Linked DNA regions of Arabidopsis thaliana. The protein of the gene in region 2 interacts with the protein of the main gene of each other region in a pairwise test. Each region holds a gene or a part of one and is shown on either strand. Other genes may lie near its edges.

Region 1 (5,901 bases), on a different chromosome or scaffold from region 2:
ACCTGGAAAACTAGCCATTGAAAAAAGCTGAAGCTTATAGGGAATCTCAAATCATTTGAACTATAATCACACGAGCACATAGAAACAGACACAATCGCAATCTAATTTGATTTCAATGATCCAAATCCGACCCGGAACTTCAAAATCGAATCTTTTACTCACCTCAGGACCGCCATGCTCATAAACCCTAATCCCTTTCACCATCTTCTTCTCGGACGACTCTTCTACCGCGACTGTACTCAGAGCTCTTACAGCAAACACAGTGCCACGTGTAGATAAAGAAAAACTCGAGAAATCGGCAAGACTTAGACGAAAGTTGAGATCTTTGACGGGATTTCGTGGAAAGCTCGAGAATATTCGGTGATATAGACGACGTGACAGATGTCCAGACGCTTGAAGACACGAGTGATGACGATGATGATGATGATGATGAAGAGTCAATGCTGCCATTTTCTTATGGCCCCCATTTCTTCTCTGCCTCCTAACTTTATTTTCTATTTCCCATCTTTGTCCTTTAACGTTCAATATATTACATTATCACTATCCTAGTTTTACTATATTTATAAAACACCCCTAATTTTAATTCCAAACACAAATCGTTATTTCACAAACATATAAGTGAAAAAATGAAACTATGGCTAAATTTACAAAATAATTTGAACAATAATCGAATCTTGGATCATGTGATTTGATTATTGTTACGTGAATAGTAAAAAAATATCCTTAATTTAGTTTGAACTTTGAAAATTTTAAAACTTATATGCAATAATTTTTTTGGCAACAAAAGATGCGTCTCATCTCAAATCATGAGGTGCTGGTTTTTTTATTGTTTTCAATGGCTAAGAATGGTGGTTTCTTGGATATCACGCTTGCTCGTCATTCTCCTCCAAAACCAATGCTTCTCCCAAAGTCCAACCACCTTCTCGATTGGAACATTCTTAGTCTCCGGCAAAAACAGCTGCACCGCTACCGTCATTACCACCAACCACCCTCCATAAAAGAAGAAAATCCCAGCTCGAAACTTACACAACATCGGTGGTGCACTTTGAGCCACCGCAAAAGTAAACACAAAACTCACTGCCACAGTTACACTCTGCGCCACCGATCTTATCTCCAACGGAAAAATCTCACTCGGTACAAGCCATCCTAATGGACCCCAAGACCAACCAAACCCGGCCACGTAGACACACACCAAAACCACAACCGCGTAACCATACCCTTCCTTGATCACACCGTCGTGAACATCAGCCACCATAACGATCACACCAATGGTAACTTGCGACACGAGCATCTGTAACCCTCCAATCAAAAACAGAGTCTTTCTACCGATTCTGTCAACGACAAGCATCGACAACAACGTCGACGAGGTTCCCACGATTCCAGTCACGAGGGTCGACATCAACGAACCACTCTCTCCAAACCCAACGGTTCTATACAAAACCGGTGCGTAGAAAGCAACAACATTGATTCCAGTAACTTGCTGAAAGAAAGGTATCACCAAAGCCATCACTAACTCAGGCCTATATTTTCTTTGAAGCAGTTTCAAAAACGCGTTTGAATCTGTATCAGAACCAGAACTCGCTTCAACGAGATCAGTAAGCTCATCTTGAACGTCGTTAGTTCCACGGACACGGCGAAGCATAAGCTCGGTCTTGTGAACATCTCCGGTGGTCTGGATGATACTATTCGGCGTTTCCGGGAGAAACAGTGATCCTAAAGTGAGGATTGAAGCAGGTATTGCAGCTGTGGCTAAAGAGATTCTCCAACCATGTTTGATATTTTGGGTTTCGTAGTTTATTACATTTGCAGATAGAAATCCAATTCCGATACAGAGCTGGAAACCATTGCTGATTGCTCCTCTGTATTTTGCCGGCGCCATCTCGGAGAGATACAGAGGAACCGACTAAAATATAAAACAACAAACCAGTCAACATACAGAGAAAATTGAAACATCATTAATCAACTTGTCTTTTGTTACCTGGTTAGCGAATCCAACTCCTACGCCGAGCAAGAGACGCGCAATAATGAGCATAGCAACGTTTTGAGCAGAGCCACCAAGAGCAGCGCCGGCGAGAAAGGACACACCGCCAAGAAATATAGAGGGCTTGCGACCCCATGAACGAGTCACGGACGAAGCTAACAGAGTAGCGATGAGACCGGAAACGTATAGAGAAGATGTGAAGGATGTAAGAAGTTGGCTATTGAAAAGGCAGTAGTGGTTATTGCTATTGCCTCTTCTTCTTCTATCTTCTTCTTGGAGCTTATACACTTTTGGGAAAAATCTTTTTAGAAATGGCCCCATTGACATCACTCCACCTACATATTTATATAGTTACATGTTTGCATTTATGTTTAGGTTTAGAGAACCACAACATTTCATTTAAATATTATGAAAAACTAAAATGTTTTCTACTTCAAAAATATGATTTATTCTTTTTGCAAACGCAAACACAAACACAAACAAAAAAAAGAAAGAACATATATATCCTAATTAGCAAGAATATATATGTGAACCTGAAACCCCGATGTCGTAGCCGAAGATGACACCGCCCATGGCGGCCATGACACATGAAGCCACCACAAAATAAGTAATCTTCCCGCCAGATACTGATTTAGCCATGGCTTCTTTTCTTGCTTCTTCTGCTACCATGTTTACCTAGAGAGACACTCAAACACAACACACCTACTATTCAAGTTCGGTAGGTGTTTTTAGATCCTGTATTTTTGTATATCAATCATCCAAAGGTTGAGTTTCAAGGTAGACGACGAAACTTGTTGGACCATTGGAGTGCTTTAATTGACTTGAGTGTGGGACTTATAGTTTTTGTTTGTTTCGGTTCTGGCTGATGAGATATCGAAAGTGGACAATAAAAGACATGTGAAGAAAGACTTTTCACTGCCTACCTTCATTATCTTCCTCTTTTTTTTTTTTTTTTTTTTTTTTTTTTTTTTTTTTTTTTTTTTTTGAAAATCGATAGAAGAAAAAGATGGCTATACTTTTTTCAACGACTGAATGATAAAGCTCTTTCGATGATATTGGACATACCAAGTTGCAAACTTTGATTGTTTAATTCCATAATACTGATATTTTGTTTTGGAATTTGACTATGTAGAAAAACCATCATTTTCTATATATAAATACTGATATACATGTGGAATTAAGTTGGCAGAATAATTACTATCAATCATGTAAATTTATGGAATCATTTTTACATTCACTTTTTATAATTATAATTTTATAGTAAATTTTATTTTTTGCTTTTAATTTTATAGTAAAATAATTTTACTCTATGGTCAAAAAACTTAAAACATTAAGGGGATGATAAGCTGTGAAATTAGAAGCTTAGGTCACAAATGAGATACTAAAAGAAGATGAAGGACCATTTTTGTGAAGAGAAAAACTTATTACACGTGGCACCAACAGAATATTTATTACCGTCACAGTCCGTGACGGAGAGAATATCTGTGATTTGCAAAGGGAAGAAGACTTTCCTATTCAAAATTCAAAGCCGACTTTTTTTTTACCTAAACAGCAATAATATCTTTTTTTCTCTGCTCCAGGGGGAAATTAAAAAAGTGGAACCTTTTCATCTCCTGGAGCGATCAATTTCTTTTTCATCATATCGCTGACTCTCGTCTTCGTCGTCTTTGATCGTATCGAGGAATTGGGTTTAGTTCGATTCGATCATCAGCTATCTCAATTTTTCTGGGGATTGTTCTAAAGGTTTGATGATCGGATTGCTTTTGTTCTATTTGTTCTTTTTGATTCTCGTATATGATTGATTAGAGAATATAGGATTAGGGTTTGTGTTCCTTAAAAGTTATCTCCTTTTGGCAGTTAAAGACTTGGTTTTTATTCTTTGTCAAGAAATTCATTCCATGGTTGACGATGAAGTCAAGGTTTTGGTTTTCTTTTGTGTTTCTTCTGTATCAATTGTATATGATTAGATTGAAGATGATTTCATGTGATGAAGTTGATTACAACGGATAATACCGCTTGTGAGGTTGTATCATAATTTGCTAAGAATAAGTATATATCTTCCCATTTGTTTCTTGATGCAAACAGGTTTCTAGTGACTTGTTTAAAGTGGTTGGTATTGGATAATGCCTTCTCTCATCTCACAGCAATGGCAGGAGAGGACTAGTGGATTCTTTTCTTCATCAGGTTTGATAATTTCTATGCTAACCTCATTTCGTTTCTCTCTGTGAGTGTTTATGGTGGAAAGCTTACTATGGAGTTACTGAATTAGGAACGAAGCTTAGGGAAGCAGGGCAGACTGCTGGTAGTTTTGTCGGGGAAGTTGCTAAGGATGCGAAAGTGAATGTTGCAGATGTTGCAGAAAGAGTTGGGTCGTTGTTTAAAAGCCGGTGGGCAATTCTTCAGCAGCCTGCAACTAGACATGCCGTGCAAGAACACCTCATAACAGCTGCTGCCACAACCGGGACTTTTGTCAGGAAGGGTATAACTGAGACAAAGGAAAAGGTTTCTGTTGGAAAGATCAAAGTGGAAGAGGTATTCTAGACACATAGCTTCTCGAAGTTACTCGACAAGAATGTATGTATCTCGTTTCATTCTTCTAACTTCTGACAGCTAAATTCTTTGTATCCATGTTTTCTCTTTAGGCGGCCAAAAAGACTGCACAAAAGAGCAAGACCATTTTGACGGATATCGAAAGGTGGCAAAAGGTATTTGACTATTAGAGTCTGAAATCTGATTGTATGCCGTTGATTTGAGTTTGGTCTCTAATATCTATTCTTTGTAATTCTGCAGGGAGTTGCCAGCTCAGATGGTAAGTTGATCGCAATATATGGAGAGATTACAGTTTAAACGTTTGTTAATCGAAAATTCAATGGATTCTTTGATGTGGGGATACTTAATTATATTACCGTTCTTGAGATAACTATTAGTGATTGCGTGTCTGAAATGCTGTGACTTTCTCTGTATGACAAATGTTTTTGGCACTCAGTGTTTGGTGTTGCGATTGAGATCACTGTCCAGCGGCAGGAGTCAAGCAGGCCTATTCCTCTGATACTAGTTAAATGCGCAGATTATCTCATATTAACAGGTAATAATGTTTGGACCAATGGAGCAATAACACTTTTATTGCTCACACCTTCTCATATCGAGTTATCAATGTGATATTTTCCTCTTACCCAGGACTTAATTCACCGAACTTGTTCAAGGCCGAAGGAGATAGAAAGTTGATTCAACAATTGGTTTCTGCTTACAATCAAGGTAGCAAGATTTCTTTTCGACTCTTATGGCTCATGGAGAAATTGTCATTTAATTGAATCACTTGTTTGGCAGATCCTAGGGCGTCAATACCTGAGGGTGTGAATCCAGTTGATGTCGCTGCACTCTTGAAATACTATCTTGCTAGCCTTCCGACACCACTAACTACTTTTGAGCTTTATAATGAAATCAAAGATGCACGGTCGAGCATACACAGAATGAGACAGTCACTCCAGAAGCTTTCCAATGTGAATTATAATACATTGGAGTTCATAACAGCGCTATTGCTTCGTGTGAGCCAGAAATCACTTCTTAACAAAGTGGGAATAAGTTGTTATAACACTAATCTCTGATTCTAGATACTTAAGATGATCCTTTTTTCAGGAATCATATAAGTTATCTGAATATTGGGAATCATTTGTTTGCATTTTGCAGATGGATTCGCATAGCCTAGCTATGGAAATGGCTCCAGTGATCATGTGGCGAGAAGACAACAGGCCTGAATCTTATCGGGAATACTGGAGACGCCCGTCAAGGAGTCCTAAGAAAAGTAACGACTTTGAAACTGCTACTCCATGGGACTTGCTCTCAGGTAAACACAAAAACACTTGGCTCCTATACTCTTTGAAGCACAGTTTCATTACGATCATTCTTCTCTTTCATGGTTA
Region 2 (8,650 bases):
TACCAATAGAATGCATGCTATTCGGCTTTTTCTGGATTCGGGTAATTCGAATTAGAGAGTTTAGTATCCTTTCAGATGGATAAGATTAGATATTTATGTATTCGGGTTGATCGGGTTCAGATCAAATAGAGGAGTTTAGGATTTAATTGAGTAAATATATATAAAAATTGGTTCAGTTTGGTTCGGTCTATCAAGTTTAGGTCGAAAGAAAACACCATTGTCGAAAGAAAGCCGTAGCAAACCACCACTGAATTAGCCACAGATCGAGTCACCGTACCAAACGCAAACAACATATTATTTTCTCTTTGCTCTCTCTTCGATTTGCTCTCTCTCTCACGACGGCTAAAGGCAGAAACCCTAGTTTATGAATCGTCGGAAGCAATTTAAAGGTAGAGACGCAGAAACCCTAAAGCAAATGTGGGCTTATTAAAACTCAAAAGTGAGAAAAGTTTATTATTGTCATTAAGCCCATGGCCCGTTAATAATATTGTGTCAGAATTAGGCCTTTTGAACTTTCTGTAATGATGTAAGTGGCGCCAATTCCATTATTTTTGTTTCTACTTTTCACGTTTATTTTCTCTATTTTTTAGCTTTCAAAACTCTTTGTAATCATTTTCTTTTGTTGAATAAATTTGACATTCCAACAAAAAATTATTTACAAAAAAATTATTTAACTTGTATTAAAAAAAAGGTTTTATGAAAAAAAACCTTAAAATCGTCTATTTTTATAATTTTATCCTATACGTCCTAAAAATACAAAATAATACGCAATATAGTCCATTTTTTAATTTTACATATATTAGAATGTTTTCACGATCTCATACATTAGTTTTTGAGAATTCTGAAGATAAAGTTGAACTCCTTATCTAGAGATCTTTGATTTGGTATATTATTTATCAAAAAATTTAAATTTGACAATAGTGAAAAAAAGATTATATTGCGTATTATTTTGGACTTCATAAGATTATTTTGTATTTTTTGGACTTGAAGGATAAAGTTGTGAATATGAACCACTATGGAGTTTTTCTGTACAAAACTCTCTATCTCTCTCTCTAACTGATCTCATTGATTAAAGCATAAACCTTAGAAAATTATTCACTGGCCGCGTTTTAAAAAGTATAAAGAAGAAAAACAGAAACCCTAAAACAATGTCATGTGGGCTTATCAAAATCAGCCCAACTCGTGCCGAGAAACAAAATTCCTAAAATGAAAAATAAATAGATTATTTGCAACAAGCACATGGCCCGTTAATTGTTTTTTCTATATATTTTCAAACAAAGCCGACGGAGAAATAATTCAAGTTTAGTATCCAAACATTTATATCATTAAATAGTTTTCATAAATCATCAAAAAAAGTTTGTTAATTTATTTCTATTAAAAATATATATATGTTACAATTGCAGTTGTTAAATGAGACAAAAAAAAATTCAGTTCTATTAGTCAACAAATTTGTTTTAAATGTTTTAAAACCAAACTGTCACTATTTAGACTTTAGAGCATCGCTCTATGGTTTCTTACCATGAATATCTCAAATAGTACAAAATAAAATTGGTGTGATTTTCTATACTATTTGAGAAGGTCACCCAAATATTTTAATTTTTGTTATTCTTTTCACATAAATAGTAAATTTTTTATTTTTATTTTTATTTTTTTGGTTATAAACCCCAAAATAATTTTGTGTTTGATGAATCATAGCTAAATGTAACACTATCTAGTGTTAATCCAAAAATTAGGATCTCGTTTTCGTTTTTTGGTTAAACATTAGAATCTTATTACAAGTTAGTTGCGAGGACATCAAATCGACCCAAATTTGTCATATTCTTGTCTTCACAATCTTGGAACATAGCCTAAAAGTTACATTTTAGCTTTTAAGAATAAAATGTGACGGTGCTAAAGACAATCTAGAATCCAATTTATTCCTCTGATGATACTTGGTTTACGTCTCTAGATTCTGGTACAACCCACCGATTTAAACGTCTCAACGACGTTGACACCTAATATATTTGGCAACAAACGGTATAAGAATAAGCACCAAAAACATAGCTTGCTAGGAACAAATTAGAAAACATAGTAATCGATTTATAACCTGTTGATCCCAATCTGTTCTCAGAGTCATGACGGTAAGCACACAAGTCTGAACGAATATTCCAAAGAGCATTCCGATCCATACGCCCTAAGAAAATTTAGAGAATAACTTTTTTTATGTTAATTTTTTTACTTTCACACATTTTTGTTTTCAAGACCGTTATAAAGAAGGAGAAAATTATAAAGAAAATAAAACTTACTTTCACTTGCAAACCAACGACATAACCAAGGATAATACCAATAGGAATTCCGACAAGGTAATAGCAAGCAAGGTTAACGTAAGTAACATATCCTTGCCATCCAGCTCCGACGGCAACTCCTGTTAAGGTTAAAACCGATCCAAGACACATAATATTTCAAATATCGGTTTATATTCGATACTGTAATAATAACCATCTCGCGCCAACTAGCTAATATACATACCAGAGAGAACGGGTTGAACACTATTCATGAGGATGGAAAAGGCTAAAAGCGGAGAAAGATCGGCAACTTCGGCTGCGACAGCTTCACTTGTAGTGAAAATGTAGGAAACTCTTCCTCTCAGAAACAAGAAGACGAAGAATAGAACTATTCCTAAAGAGAGTGATGTGAAAACCGCGGTTAGTGTTGCAAACTTGGCTCCTTTGGGGTTTCCACTACCGAGCTCGTTGGACACTCTTACGCTAGAGAAAAGACAAGGAAGAAGACCGATACATAAATAGAATTAATAAAGTGAAGTGTATATGTATGAATTAATATATGTATGTACCTTGCAGCTGCCAAAAACCCAAGTGCTATCATCATCTCCAGTCCATTTATGTTGAGGCTATATAAAATAAATGGTTAAGAATAGTTTATTTACGCATACTACATTTTAAATAAAATGAATAGATGTTTGAATTAATCGGTATTGGTCATGTCGTGTTAGTTTACCAGATTGCTAGTGCATCAAGAGCCACTTCTGCGTTTTTCAAATTTCCAGTGAGCAGTACCAAGATTGAGTTGTACCATAGTTCCAAGCTGCCCAAAATAACGGCCATAAAGTGATAATTATTATTGTATAATCATAAACTTCTCAATATGCGTACATGTAAATATAGTTTAGTAAGGTAGTCTACTTATACGACATTGATTATTTCAAACTGTCAGTCTTTGAAAGTCATTCCTAGTAAGTAAAAAACTTAAGAGCATGTGGTTTTGACTTGACTCTTACTAGTTTAATTAGAAACTTCATATCACCTACATGTAAAGCTATTCATATGAATTTCTATTGTAACCAAAACTTTAGGATCAAATCCTAGACTAATTGATAATTATATGGTTTGCTGCTTAAAAAAATAGAGGAAACCTTACCAAAGCATTCCACCGGAAGACATAGAAAGTTTGAAGACGGGCCATAAATCTTTGAAGGCCATCATAGAGAATCCTCTCCATGTGTCCTTACACCCACCGCACGTGACGAACAAGAGTTGGGCAATATTAGGCAACCAGAACGCAACTAGCGTAGAGGTCATAGCACCAGTGATCCCAAAATTGAAATGAACCATAAGTAGCCACGACAAGAAGACATGGACCCCTAAGGAGACAGCAGCCACGTAGGCAATGATCTTGTTCTTGCTCTGAGCTTGGAGGAACATTTGGCAAGTGAAGGAAGGCACAAAAGAGAAGTTGATGCCTATGACCCATAGGGCTATGATCCGAGCCACACGGACAATGCGTTCCTCTTGACCTAAGGCTAAGAGGATAGGGCCAGAGAAGATATAGACGGGCGTGAGGCAAATGGTACAACCTGTAAGGACGATCCATGACCTTTGGAGGTAGATCCCGAGCATATGATTTTGTTTAGCTCCGTAGGCTTGACCACATAGTGTTTCCAATGCACTGGCCATACCTAACTGCATTACGGTTCGTTATTACACGATAGTTATAATAACCAAAGTTGAGACATCTACATAGCTTCATAATAAATGTTAGCCAAAATAACATTCCATACAAAATCATTCAAGACCATATAAACTGAACCAAATTTTGATGAGTATGTAAAATTATCAGGATCTAGCTCAAACGTTGTTACAGTGTAGTGACTTGACTTTGATTAGAAGGTATATAAAAAGAGTTCAAAACTTTCTTTTTGTCTGATAGTTCAATAATTAGATCCTATTTGTCTCTCTTTTGGCTCTTTATGGCGTCTAGTGTATGGCTTAAAAGCTTCGACAAAATTTTGATATGATGGTACTTTTGGAGTTGTATACTGAAAACATGTAAAATATGAAACAACTTTTGATTTTCAGGGTGGAGAGTGGTTACGCCTCCTAAGTGGACTGCCATTGAAAAATCTTGTCAAACTTGTCTTCCCAAAAATAATTTATCAACTGCAATACTTTTCCTACACCTTTTCTTTTAAGGTTATAGTATAATAAACCCTTCTCTTTTTCTTTTTCTTTTTGTATAATAAACCCTTTAACTTTTTAAAAACTGGTATAGAATTATTTCTCTACTGCATTATTCTACAAAATTGTGGAAAATACGAGAAGAGACTACAAATTTGATATGTGGTTCGCAAGAAACCACCGCATGTTACGTCAAGCAGTGTCAACTGTCAGGACTCACATGATTTATGTTATTTCAATTATCCGTCAAAAGGAACCATTTATAAATTACAATCAGTAGTTCTGTTTTTTCTTTTTCTTCTTAATTCTGACCAATCAAAAACATGCTGTGCTTTATTATTGAGTTTTGGAAGAATTAATTATATTTCTGATTTTTCATTTGTTAGTCAATAATATTTAATGTGCAACAAAAGGAATTGTTGAACAGAAAAAAAAGAGAAATTATTCTTTCCCGAAAAAAGACTTGTCATAATCATTTTTCAATGTTTTCTTTTCTATTTTCAGTAAGGTACCACAATTTAATTTATTGCATAGTTATGCATTCTAAGGCAATCACCGGTAAATAGATTAATGAAAAGTTATTTCTAAGGGTTATGACAAACAAAAAACGCGTTTAATTTATGAATGGTCAGTAATAGTATCACGAAGATTTCAATGTTTGAAGAAATGATTTAACTTGTTGGTAAAAAAATTGAGAGTAATAATTGAAGAAAGTACTCACCAAGATACCATTACTAAACCGGAGGAGAACGGTGAAGGTGATAGAGTAAGCAGCCAACTCTATAGGACCAAGATGGCCGATGAAAGATTGACTTATTATTGAAACTCCGAACGTTGAGAATCTCGTGAAGATCGCTGGCGCCGCCACAATCCATAGCTTCTTTGATTCAATCCAAACCTTTTGCTTCAACCCTAACTCATCCTTCTCTTCTCCGCCGTTCTCCGCCGTCTTTTTCAACAAAGCCGCCGTGAGCTCTCCTCCTCCTCCGGCCATCTTGGAGTCTCTGTTGTTGTATCTGATGGAGGACCAGAGGGAAGGAGGGAATAAATAAAAGAGAGAAGGCAGAGAAAAAGAGAGGAGACTAGAGTGTTTGTGTATGAATTGGTTTATGAGAACAACTCTGTTTTTTTTGTTGTCTTTATAGATTAATGTTTTTTTGTTTGCTTAAAAATCGTCATTTTTATTGGGAAACGAAAAGCCGTCTACGCCAAGCAGCAAGTAGCAGTGAGTGGTTTATAGACACCTAGCTAAGATATCTTGCATTTTATAGACCATTTATTTTGACTAACAAACCTACCTATGTTTCATAATATAGAAAATATATAATAATGTTTTAGTAAACAAATTTATTATTTGATATTTGATTCAACCAATTATAAAATACAAATAGTCATGTATTGAAAGTTGAAACTTATAAAACATTCTAAGAAATAAAATAATTAAATCATTCTATATTGTTTTATATAATAAAATAGAAAAACTAACAATTATTTAATTTTGCTACACCATAAACCATAAAAAGACAAGAATCAAGTCACGAGCGTATCGAACTACTACTATTGTCACATTTTTCTGCTAACAAGATTGGTAGAAAGACTTATTTCAGTTAAAAAAACTCTTTTTTTTTTGGGGAGCAGGCGATTTCCGTTAAACCGAAAATAAAATCTTGCAAAATACAAGAGAGTTTCTTTTCTTTTATCTCTTCTAATTTTTCAGAGAGAAGAGGCTCTATATCGTCTGGGTTTATTTTCGGATTTATTCGGACTTATAAATATTACTAGTATGAAGCCTGGACTACGTTCGGGACAAAAATAATTTGATAAAAAATAAATTCTTTTGTTTGAAAGCGTTATCTTTAGTGTGTCCTGTGTAAGATAACTTTTTTTTAGAAAAACAGGTAAAAGCATATTCTTTTTTGCCCAAAAAATAAAAAATAAAATATATATTCTCTATATAGTCTATTCGTCGTACAATTTCAATAATGCCTAACTTCTAAACCTCATAACTCGAAATTTCCAAAGTTCTAAAGATTCTAGCATAACAAAAATCCAATGGTCCATAAATTTGTAATCAATCCAATTCTATTGAAGATTCAATTGCATGAGAAAACATGTTTTACAACCTTATGGATATCTTTTTCTTCTGTTTCTGTTTTCCTTTGTCGTATAGTCTCAGCTTTTCAGATATATGACTCTTGTGTTCATCTATATCACCATTTTAAAACTGAAAAAATTTTGGTTTTCTCTAGTGTATATCAGTACATCTTGTGCTTGTATGGCTTCGTTTTTTGTTTTACTGTGATTTCACAAAATCAAAAAGTCAATTTGTCTAGCACTATATTTGAGTTTAAAAATATAAGATCAACTATTTTTTTAAATAAAAAATAAAGGAAGAACTAATTGAGAATTGATAACCTTAGCATGTCATTGGGTTAGTCATGACTCATGATCGTGTAAGAGTTTTATTTTTCTGAAAATGTTTCACACGGGATCCTGAAAACGAAACCCATGTCGTCTTAAAGTCAGATTCTCAAACACTTTCTCTTGACAACATTAATAGCCAACAATGAGATGTGATTAGATGAAAATTGTAATAATTCACAAAGTATAAAGAAAATGATGTTAAAACTGAAAGCCAAAACAATATATGGAAAACTGAAAATTATAATAATTCAGAAATTTTACAAATTTGATACCTTAATTGAATATACAGTCGTTGTGGTTGACCTCTTCTTCAGCCATAACTGACCTCGAATGAGAAGGGAGAGTGAGATGAATTTTGGTTTGAGAATGGCAAGCAGCAAAAAAAATGTAAGGATTGTTAATCTGCCATGGCGTCATGGTGTAAAGCAGGCGGAAAAGAAAATAACTGATCCGAATGTGAAAAATTTGAGATTCGTAATTAGAAAATTGCATAGAAGATGAAACAACATAAATTAGCAATAACTGTTGCAAGATATGGGGAATGGGGAAGATAGTGATGAAGATGGCGAGAAAGAAAGAAATAAATTATGGATTAAATCTCTTTAATAATTTATGTTAATGAGAAAAGAATTATTGTTTTACGCTTCAGAAAAATCAAAACTCAATAAATTAAGACTTTGCTTACGTGTAAACAGGAGAATGTTGCAGTTTGTGATAAAGTGACTGTTGATTTAGTAGATATAGATTTATATTAGATTTAAATAAGTTTTCGACTTCTAGTCGGATGTCAGTCTACTAGAGTAGTCCGGTTTTTGTTTTCTCGCGACGGCGAGACTAATCTCTTGTCCAACTGCCCCTCGAGGTTCATCCGATCCTCCCAATCATCTCGAGGAGTAATATCTTCATTATCTTTCTTTGTTCGTGAATTTGGAGCAATGTTTCGACTGCATCAGTAAAGGTGTTGTCTGTGATGGAACTTCCCAGGAGTTGGATTTGCTCGGAGAACTCTTGAAGCATACCATATGATAGATCTGGAGGTTCTCGGCGTTTACGGCTTGGGTTCGAGATCGTCAGACAGGAGGCAACCACCCATCGCTCCACGACGGATCGACGGTGGCTGATCTAAGGCGGTGATGTTTGGCGAGAAAAACACGGCAGCGCTCGATCAACTGATGCGTGGCTTGATGAAGCAGAAGACTTCAACACGTGTCAGCATCTAGGTTTTCTTAAAACTTAGGTTGTATTTTCATTGTAGTAATTGGGCTTCCCTCTGTAGTAGTCCTTTGAACTTTCTTAATGAAATATGGTTGTAAAAAAAAAAATTGGTAGAAAGACTTAAGAAATTAAATTATTTAAGATATTGTTATATAGATTAGAGAATTCTCCCGAACAAATATTATTTGTTCTGTTTGTGAAGTCTCGTTTAATCTTTACATTCTGGTTCAATCCAACGGTTCAATACCACAACTATTCTTCTGATCCAACAAAGATATGTATTTGTTTTTAAACCCAAATTAGTGGTTGATACCAATTTGGCATTTAAATTTTAATAAATAATTGTAGAAAAAAATAGATATAAATCTGCAAATGACATTTAAAGATAAAAAAGAAATGTATGCATATTTCTATTTTATATGATCATATGAACAACAAAGGGGTTTGTGGTTGTGAATAAGGATTTGTTAAAGGAAAAAAACAAAACAAAGCTACGACAAGAGGAGGCAAAGAAGTCTACGTAAGCAGTCGCGTCACTGTAGTATTAGATCGGTATT
Region 3 (6,361 bases), on a different chromosome or scaffold from region 2:
GTTGTTAATAAAAAGGAATGACATAAAAAAAAATCGTTTACATTGACTTTGATTGATGACTTATGGTCGTCACAAACTATTCACGTTAATAAATGGAAGCTGCATGATGTGAAACTCAAATCAACGAAGTCGAAAAAAACACCATGTCTTCTCTGATCTCTTTTATCTTCCTTTTCCTTTTCTCATTCCTCACTAGCTTCAAAGCTTCCGCTCAAGATCCTTTTTACTTAAATCATTATTGTCCAAATACGACAACTTACTCAAGATTCAGCACTTACTCCACCAATCTCAGAACCCTTTTGTCCTCTTTTGCTTCCCGCAACGCCTCTTACTCCACCGGATTCCAGAACGTCACGGTGGGACAAACCCCCGACCTGGTCACCGGACTTTTCCTCTGCCGCGGAGACCTCTCGCCGGAAGTTTGCAGTAACTGCGTTGCCTTCTCCGTTGACGAAGCGTTAACTAGGTGTCCAAGTCAGAGAGAAGCTGTGTTCTATTACGAGGAGTGTATACTCAGATACTCTGACAAGAATATTCTATCGACGGCCATTACAAACGAAGGAGAATTTATCTTGAGTAACACCAACACTATTTCTCCTAATCAAAGTCAAATAAACCAGTTTATAGTTTTGGTGCAATCTAATATGAACCAAGCTGCCATGGAAGCAGCCAACAGTTCTAGAAAATTCTCTACGATAAAGACCGAATTGACCGAACTCCAGACTTTGTACGGGCTTGTTCAATGCACTCCTGATCTTACAAGTCAAGACTGTTTGAGATGTCTGACAAGATCCATCAATAGAATGCCACTTTCTAGAATTGGAGCAAGACAGTTTTGGCCAAGTTGTAATTCAAGGTACGAGCTTTACTCGTTCTACAACGAAACTACCATTGGAACACCATCTCCACCACCACCACCGTCGCCAAGCAGAGCAAATTGATGTGCTGCTTTTTACGTCGAAGTTTTGGCCAAGTTGTAATTCGTTTTGCTCTGCTTTACAAATTGACGTGTTGCTTTTTCTCTGCGTTTAAAATTGGTATCATCGAAATAAAGTAACTCAGTTTCTTACAATCAAAGAGATAAGGATTGTGAAGCAGCTAATGAGTCTTCTTATTTTGTCTTTACTTCAGTCTTCTCGTCTTTGATAGTGAATTGCTCATCTAGCTTTCTTAATCTTAGACTTGGTCAATGTTTTGGCTTTTCTCATACTAAACCAATTAATACATAAAATATTTAATTTATTTTCTATTACAATTATCTAGATATTTTTAGCTACACGTGATTGAAACGTGTCTCAAGCTACACCAACGCTCTTCCTCACAAACTGAATTCGTCGTCGATAGTGGTTGCTCTTGCTATCTTGATGTTTACTTCGTCTGATCGTTGAACTGGCCCGCTGCAACATTCTGAGTGTTCCAAGTGATTATTCTAGTTGTGCGTAACACCGTAACAGTAAAAATGAGCTAAGGAAAGCGAGATGCAAGGGAGAACCAACAGAAGCATAAGTTTTTCCTCTGTTATTACTAATGGAAAAAAACTTTCTTTTTCATTTTCTAATTCCTTGTCAGATTTCTCAGCTTCTCTTCTTTTTGTTTTGTGTAAGACTTGGTCGGAGTCTTAGATTACGCTGATGATTAAAAACTACTAAAAAAGAAAAAAAAAAGAATATTACGCAAATGTTCTCGATGCATTGACCAAGTCCTCTTCTGGTTCTGGCTCCATTTTCACATGCAGGCCCATAACCAATTTTAACGAGATTTGTTGCATGAAAAGCCGATTGTTTTTCCTTGGCAGTAACGAAAAAAAATTAGTTACTTTTTAAAAACTAGGGTTTTGAATAATATCATTAAAATCAAATAGAACGAACTAGGGTTTTGGCATCATACACCGCCTCATTCAATTATTAACAAAGCTGAGTCTTCTTCACGGAGAAATCACGGCTGAGCTAGGTCTCATATACCTTGCATCAATATCTTGGGCCTTTACTAGGATCGGAGATACATCAAACATAAAATACTTCTCGGTTTTATTTTCTCTTTCCTTATGTATATGTGAATGCCTTTAAAAATTTTGATTGCCTTTTTTCTCGTTTTGGAATAGTCATGAGAAGCTGAGAACCAAAAAGGAAATATTTCTCACCTTTGCAACTAGCTAGATGGAGCTTATGGATGCAAAATTCGTTTTAAAACACATTGTATTCGGATGATGTCAAAATATTTCACATTCATATAGCAAATTCATGTTTATATATTCCGATATTAACTTTAAATATTAAAACTTATATGCTGTAGATTCATATCCGGGTGAAAACACGAAAGGACTTATGATGGAACCATTATATGGAACGACGTCATGTGGAATATCAAGTTATTTAACTTCTCGCGAGTAAGACTATAAAAAGTAATAGAATAATTAGTAACTAACAATATCAGATAACGATAGGCAGATGATTTGGTAATACTATTTTAGTATCACTACATCACAATAACCATACTAGCATATACGATATACAAATTAATAAATTATCGTGCTTAAAACAAAAACCTATTATCAACCAATAATTTCTTCGCATCAGTGGCGACAATTTTTTCAGCCCCAGAATGATTCTTTGAAGAATAGTCAACAAAGATTCCTAATTTCAACAATTCTGTTCAAGGAAAAGTACGAAACAAATTCTACTGCTAGCTAGTTTCTCTCATGTATATCTAAATTCTATTACTAGTAATTAAGATCTTTGAAATCATGCCAACTGCTACATTTATTTTCTCTTGAAAATCCCAACTACCTTTTTTTTGATCAAAAAAAAAAAAGACTTTAGAGTTCAAAGCTTGAATTTAGAGTTATTATGTTTTAAATTTTGACAGTTTTGATAATTTTCTTCATTTTAAAATGATTTTATATTTTCCGTAATTTTTTTCTATATTTCATATATTAAAAAAATAAGTAATGGATTAGTAGCTAAACACAAGAAGTTGGACAAGACCCGACAATTTAATACGAGACGCGTTGACCTTGACCTTGACTTTTCGTCAGCACAAAACGTTATCTACGGTAGTCACTGAGAGAGAACAAACAATCAAATTTGTTTCATATATCACTCAAAGCTTGATGAGAAGAAACACAGATCAAGAAAGCCCAATTATGTCTTATTACTCCTCTTTCTTCTTCCTTTTCCTCTTCTCCTTTCTCACGAGTTTCAGAGTTTCTGCTCAAGATCCCACTTACGTATACCACACCTGTCAAAATACGGCAAATTACACAAGTAACAGCACTTACAACAACAATCTCAAGACCCTTTTGGCTTCTCTTTCTTCCCGCAACGCTTCCTACTCCACCGGATTCCAAAACGCCACCGTCGGCCAAGCTCCAGACAGAGTCACCGGACTTTTCAACTGCCGTGGAGATGTCTCAACGGAAGTTTGCCGTAGATGCGTCTCCTTTGCCGTCAACGACACCTTAACTCGGTGTCCTAACCAGAAAGAAGCCACACTTTATTACGATGAGTGTGTACTTAGATACTCTAACCAGAATATTCTCTCGACACTAATAACCACCGGTGGAGTTATCTTGGTTAACACCCGGAATGTGACATCTAACCAACTAGACCTGTTAAGTGATTTGGTTTTGCCTACTCTGAACCAAGCCGCCACCGTAGCCTTGAACAGTTCCAAAAAATTCGGTACGAGAAAAAACAATTTTACTGCGTTGCAGAGTTTCTATGGACTGGTTCAGTGCACACCTGATCTCACGAGACAAGACTGTTCGCGTTGTCTCCAACTGGTCATCAATCAAATACCTACTGACAGAATTGGTGCAAGAATTATTAATCCGAGCTGTACTTCAAGATACGAGATCTACGCGTTTTACACCGAATCCGCCGTTCCACCACCACCACCACCACCGTCAATTTCTACTCCTCCAGTTTCAGCTCCTCCGCGATCTGGTCAGAGCTCTGTTTTTTTCCTCTGTTTTTTTTTTTTGCCCTGATTTCTTGAAATTGGCAAAACCAATATAGAGAGTTTTCTTCTATCTGATTTTTAAGCAAATAATCTTTGAAATGCAGGAAAAGATGGGAATTCAAAGGTGTTAGTGATAGCCATTGTTGTGCCTATTATAGTGGCTGTTCTGCTTTTTATAGCTGGTTATTGTTTCCTTACAAGAAGGGCAAGGAAGAGTTATTACACACCATCTGCATTTGCTGGTAAAGATTTCAAGTGATAAACGATCTTTAATGTCAATGCTCAGCTTGTTTTTCCTGCTTCAAAGACTTTCATTGTGTAACAGGAGATGATATCACAACAGCAGACTCACTACAGCTTGATTATAGAACAATTCAAACTGCAACAGATGATTTTGTAGAGAGTAATAAGATTGGTCAAGGTGGATTTGGTGAGGTTTACAAGGTAAATTATAGTTCCCTTGAGCTGTGTTTTTTTTTTCTTGAAATTTTAAGCCAACACTTTTGGATAATGGGATGATGCTGATGAAAACAACAGGGTACTTTATCGGATGGGACTGAAGTTGCGGTGAAGCGACTATCAAAGTCATCAGGACAAGGTGAAGTAGAGTTCAAGAACGAGGTTGTTCTTGTTGCAAAGCTACAACATAGAAATCTGGTTAGACTTCTTGGGTTTTGTCTAGACGGAGAAGAAAGAGTACTGGTCTACGAGTATGTGCCCAACAAAAGTCTTGATTACTTCCTCTTTGGTTAGTTGCATTTAATGCTTTGTTTCAATGATTCTTGATACTTGGGGTTACGAATGTTTAGAGATCTCATTGTGATTTATGGATGTGGACAGACCCTGCAAAGAAAGGCCAGCTGGATTGGACTCGACGATACAAGATTATCGGTGGAGTTGCTCGAGGGATTCTGTATCTTCATCAAGACTCACGACTCACAATCATACACCGTGACCTCAAAGCCAGTAACATTCTCTTGGACGCGGATATGAATCCTAAAATTGCAGATTTTGGAATGGCTAGGATCTTTGGATTGGACCAAACCGAAGAGAACACAAGCAGAATAGTTGGTACCTAGTAAGTCTTCCTCATAACTTCTCATAAGTTGAAGTTTTCTGAACATTCTTTTGTTAACATAGTTTTTGTTGTGGGTTTATAAGTTGAAGTTTTCTGAACATCCTTTGGTTAACATAGTTTTTGTTGTGGGTTACAGTGGTTACATGTCTCCCGAGTATGCAATGCATGGTCAGTACTCAATGAAATCTGATGTCTATAGCTTCGGAGTGTTAGTTCTTGAGATTATAAGTGGCAAGAAGAATAGCAGCTTCTACCAAACAGATGGTGCACATGACTTGGTCTCATATGTAAGTTTTAAACCTATCAAGTTCCATATTTACCTGAACATAGTTGCAAGTGTTGATTGATTGAATAATATTCTAGGCTTGGGGGCTTTGGAGTAACGGGCGACCATTAGAACTCGTGGATCCAGCTATTGTAGAAAATTGCCAAAGGAATGAAGTTGTTCGATGTGTCCATATCGGTCTTTTATGTGTTCAAGAAGATCCTGCTGAGCGTCCGACGTTGTCAACCATTGTTCTGATGCTCACTAGTAACACTGTGACTTTACCCGTGCCACGGCAACCCGGTCTTTTCTTTCAGAGTAGAATTGGAAAAGACCCGCTTGATACAGATACAACGAGCAAATCTCTTCTAGGGTCTGTTGACGATGCATCCATCACAGATATACATCCTCGATGATGATGAGTTTTTCCCTTCATACCTGATTCCTGAATCTATTGGTGTTGAAAATAAGTTAAAAACTTCTTTTGTTATAGAATGTTTGTATTGTAATTGTAACCACAAGCAAGTATAAGATATATACCATTTACACGTTTCTCCATGAAGACGTAACAGTGACTTTTCCCTCCAAATTAAGCTTACACAACGATCTAGCAGGTAATTTGATTCAGCATGAAGAGAGTAAAACCAGTAATCGAGAAACGATTCTTAAAGAACTGTGAACTGTTCATAAGCATTTTACAGTGGACACTGTACAACATACAATTACAGATAAACCTGCTATGTTTCTTATGTCCGTGGACAAATAATATAAATGTCATCTGACCATTTTTCTGTTACAACTTTTAAGCTATGATGAGGAACCACATCAATTTTTACGAACTAAATGAGGAAGACTTGCTTGTATACTGATCAGACTCTGATCCTTCAGATACCAGTTTCAGTTGCCTGCTTCGTGGGAAAAATCCCGGTAGGCGAGGCACTGGTAGAGTAATTGTGTTACTAGTCAGCATTAAGATGATTGTTGATAACATTGGACGGTCTTCTGGATTTTCTTGAACACATAACAGCGCGATATGGATGCACCTAGTGACTTCATTA

What was found. Proteins that work in one complex are often made in the same cells at the same time.
Region 1: the proteins of AT1G33110 (region 2) and AT5G61520 interact in a protein complementation assay, tested with the Arabidopsis thaliana proteins (one large-scale study listed by BioGRID).
Region 3: the proteins of AT1G33110 (region 2) and CRK10 interact in a protein complementation assay, tested with the Arabidopsis thaliana proteins (one large-scale study listed by BioGRID).

The regions. Positions count from the first base shown.
Region 1 is NC_003076.8:24,738,526-24,744,426, forward strand, and holds AT5G61520 (Major facilitator superfamily protein), read right to left. Parts: upstream 2,877-5,901; 5' UTR 2,651-2,876; coding exon 2,515-2,650; exon of another isoform or gene 2,317-2,514; coding exon 1,979-2,316; intron 1,904-1,978; coding exon 833-1,903; 3' UTR 501-832; downstream 1-500. Other genes in the region: AT5G61510 (GroES-like zinc-binding alcohol dehydrogenase family protein), read right to left, coding at 163-450; AT5G61530 (small G protein family protein / RhoGAP family protein), read left to right, coding at 3,880-3,900, 4,211-4,513, 4,624-4,686, 4,772-4,790, 4,968-5,066, 5,159-5,236, 5,309-5,553, 5,669-5,825. UniProt on the Arabidopsis thaliana protein: Mediates an active uptake of hexoses, probably by sugar/hydrogen symport.
Region 2 is NC_003070.9:12,001,882-12,010,531, reverse strand, and holds AT1G33110 (MATE efflux family protein), read right to left. Parts: upstream 5,679-8,650; 5' UTR 5,449-5,678; coding exon 5,176-5,448; intron 3,960-5,175; coding exon 3,418-3,959; intron 3,085-3,417; coding exon 2,998-3,084; intron 2,891-2,997; coding exon 2,834-2,890; intron 2,748-2,833; coding exon 2,509-2,747; coding exon of another isoform or gene 2,492-2,508; exon of another isoform or gene 2,405-2,491; coding exon 2,286-2,404; intron 2,174-2,285; coding exon 2,087-2,173; intron 1,995-2,086; coding exon 1,914-1,994; 3' UTR 1,680-1,913; downstream 1-1,679. Other genes in the region: AT1G33102 (uncharacterized protein), read left to right, coding at 7,901-7,999.
Region 3 is NC_003075.7:12,135,062-12,141,422, forward strand, and holds CRK10 (cysteine-rich RLK (RECEPTOR-like protein kinase) 10), read left to right. Parts: upstream 1-2,933; 5' UTR 2,934-3,109; coding exon 3,110-3,944; intron 3,945-4,064; coding exon 4,065-4,202; intron 4,203-4,285; coding exon 4,286-4,404; intron 4,405-4,497; coding exon 4,498-4,708; intron 4,709-4,800; coding exon 4,801-5,038; coding exon of another isoform or gene 5,039-5,039; exon of another isoform or gene 5,040-5,170; intron 5,171-5,174; coding exon 5,175-5,325; coding exon of another isoform or gene 5,326-5,385; exon of another isoform or gene 5,386-5,401; coding exon 5,402-5,719; 3' UTR 5,720-5,861; downstream 5,862-6,361. Other genes in the region: EP1 (receptor-like protein kinase-related family protein), read left to right, coding at 144-941; CRK11 (cysteine-rich RLK (RECEPTOR-like protein kinase) 11), read right to left, coding at 6,136-6,361.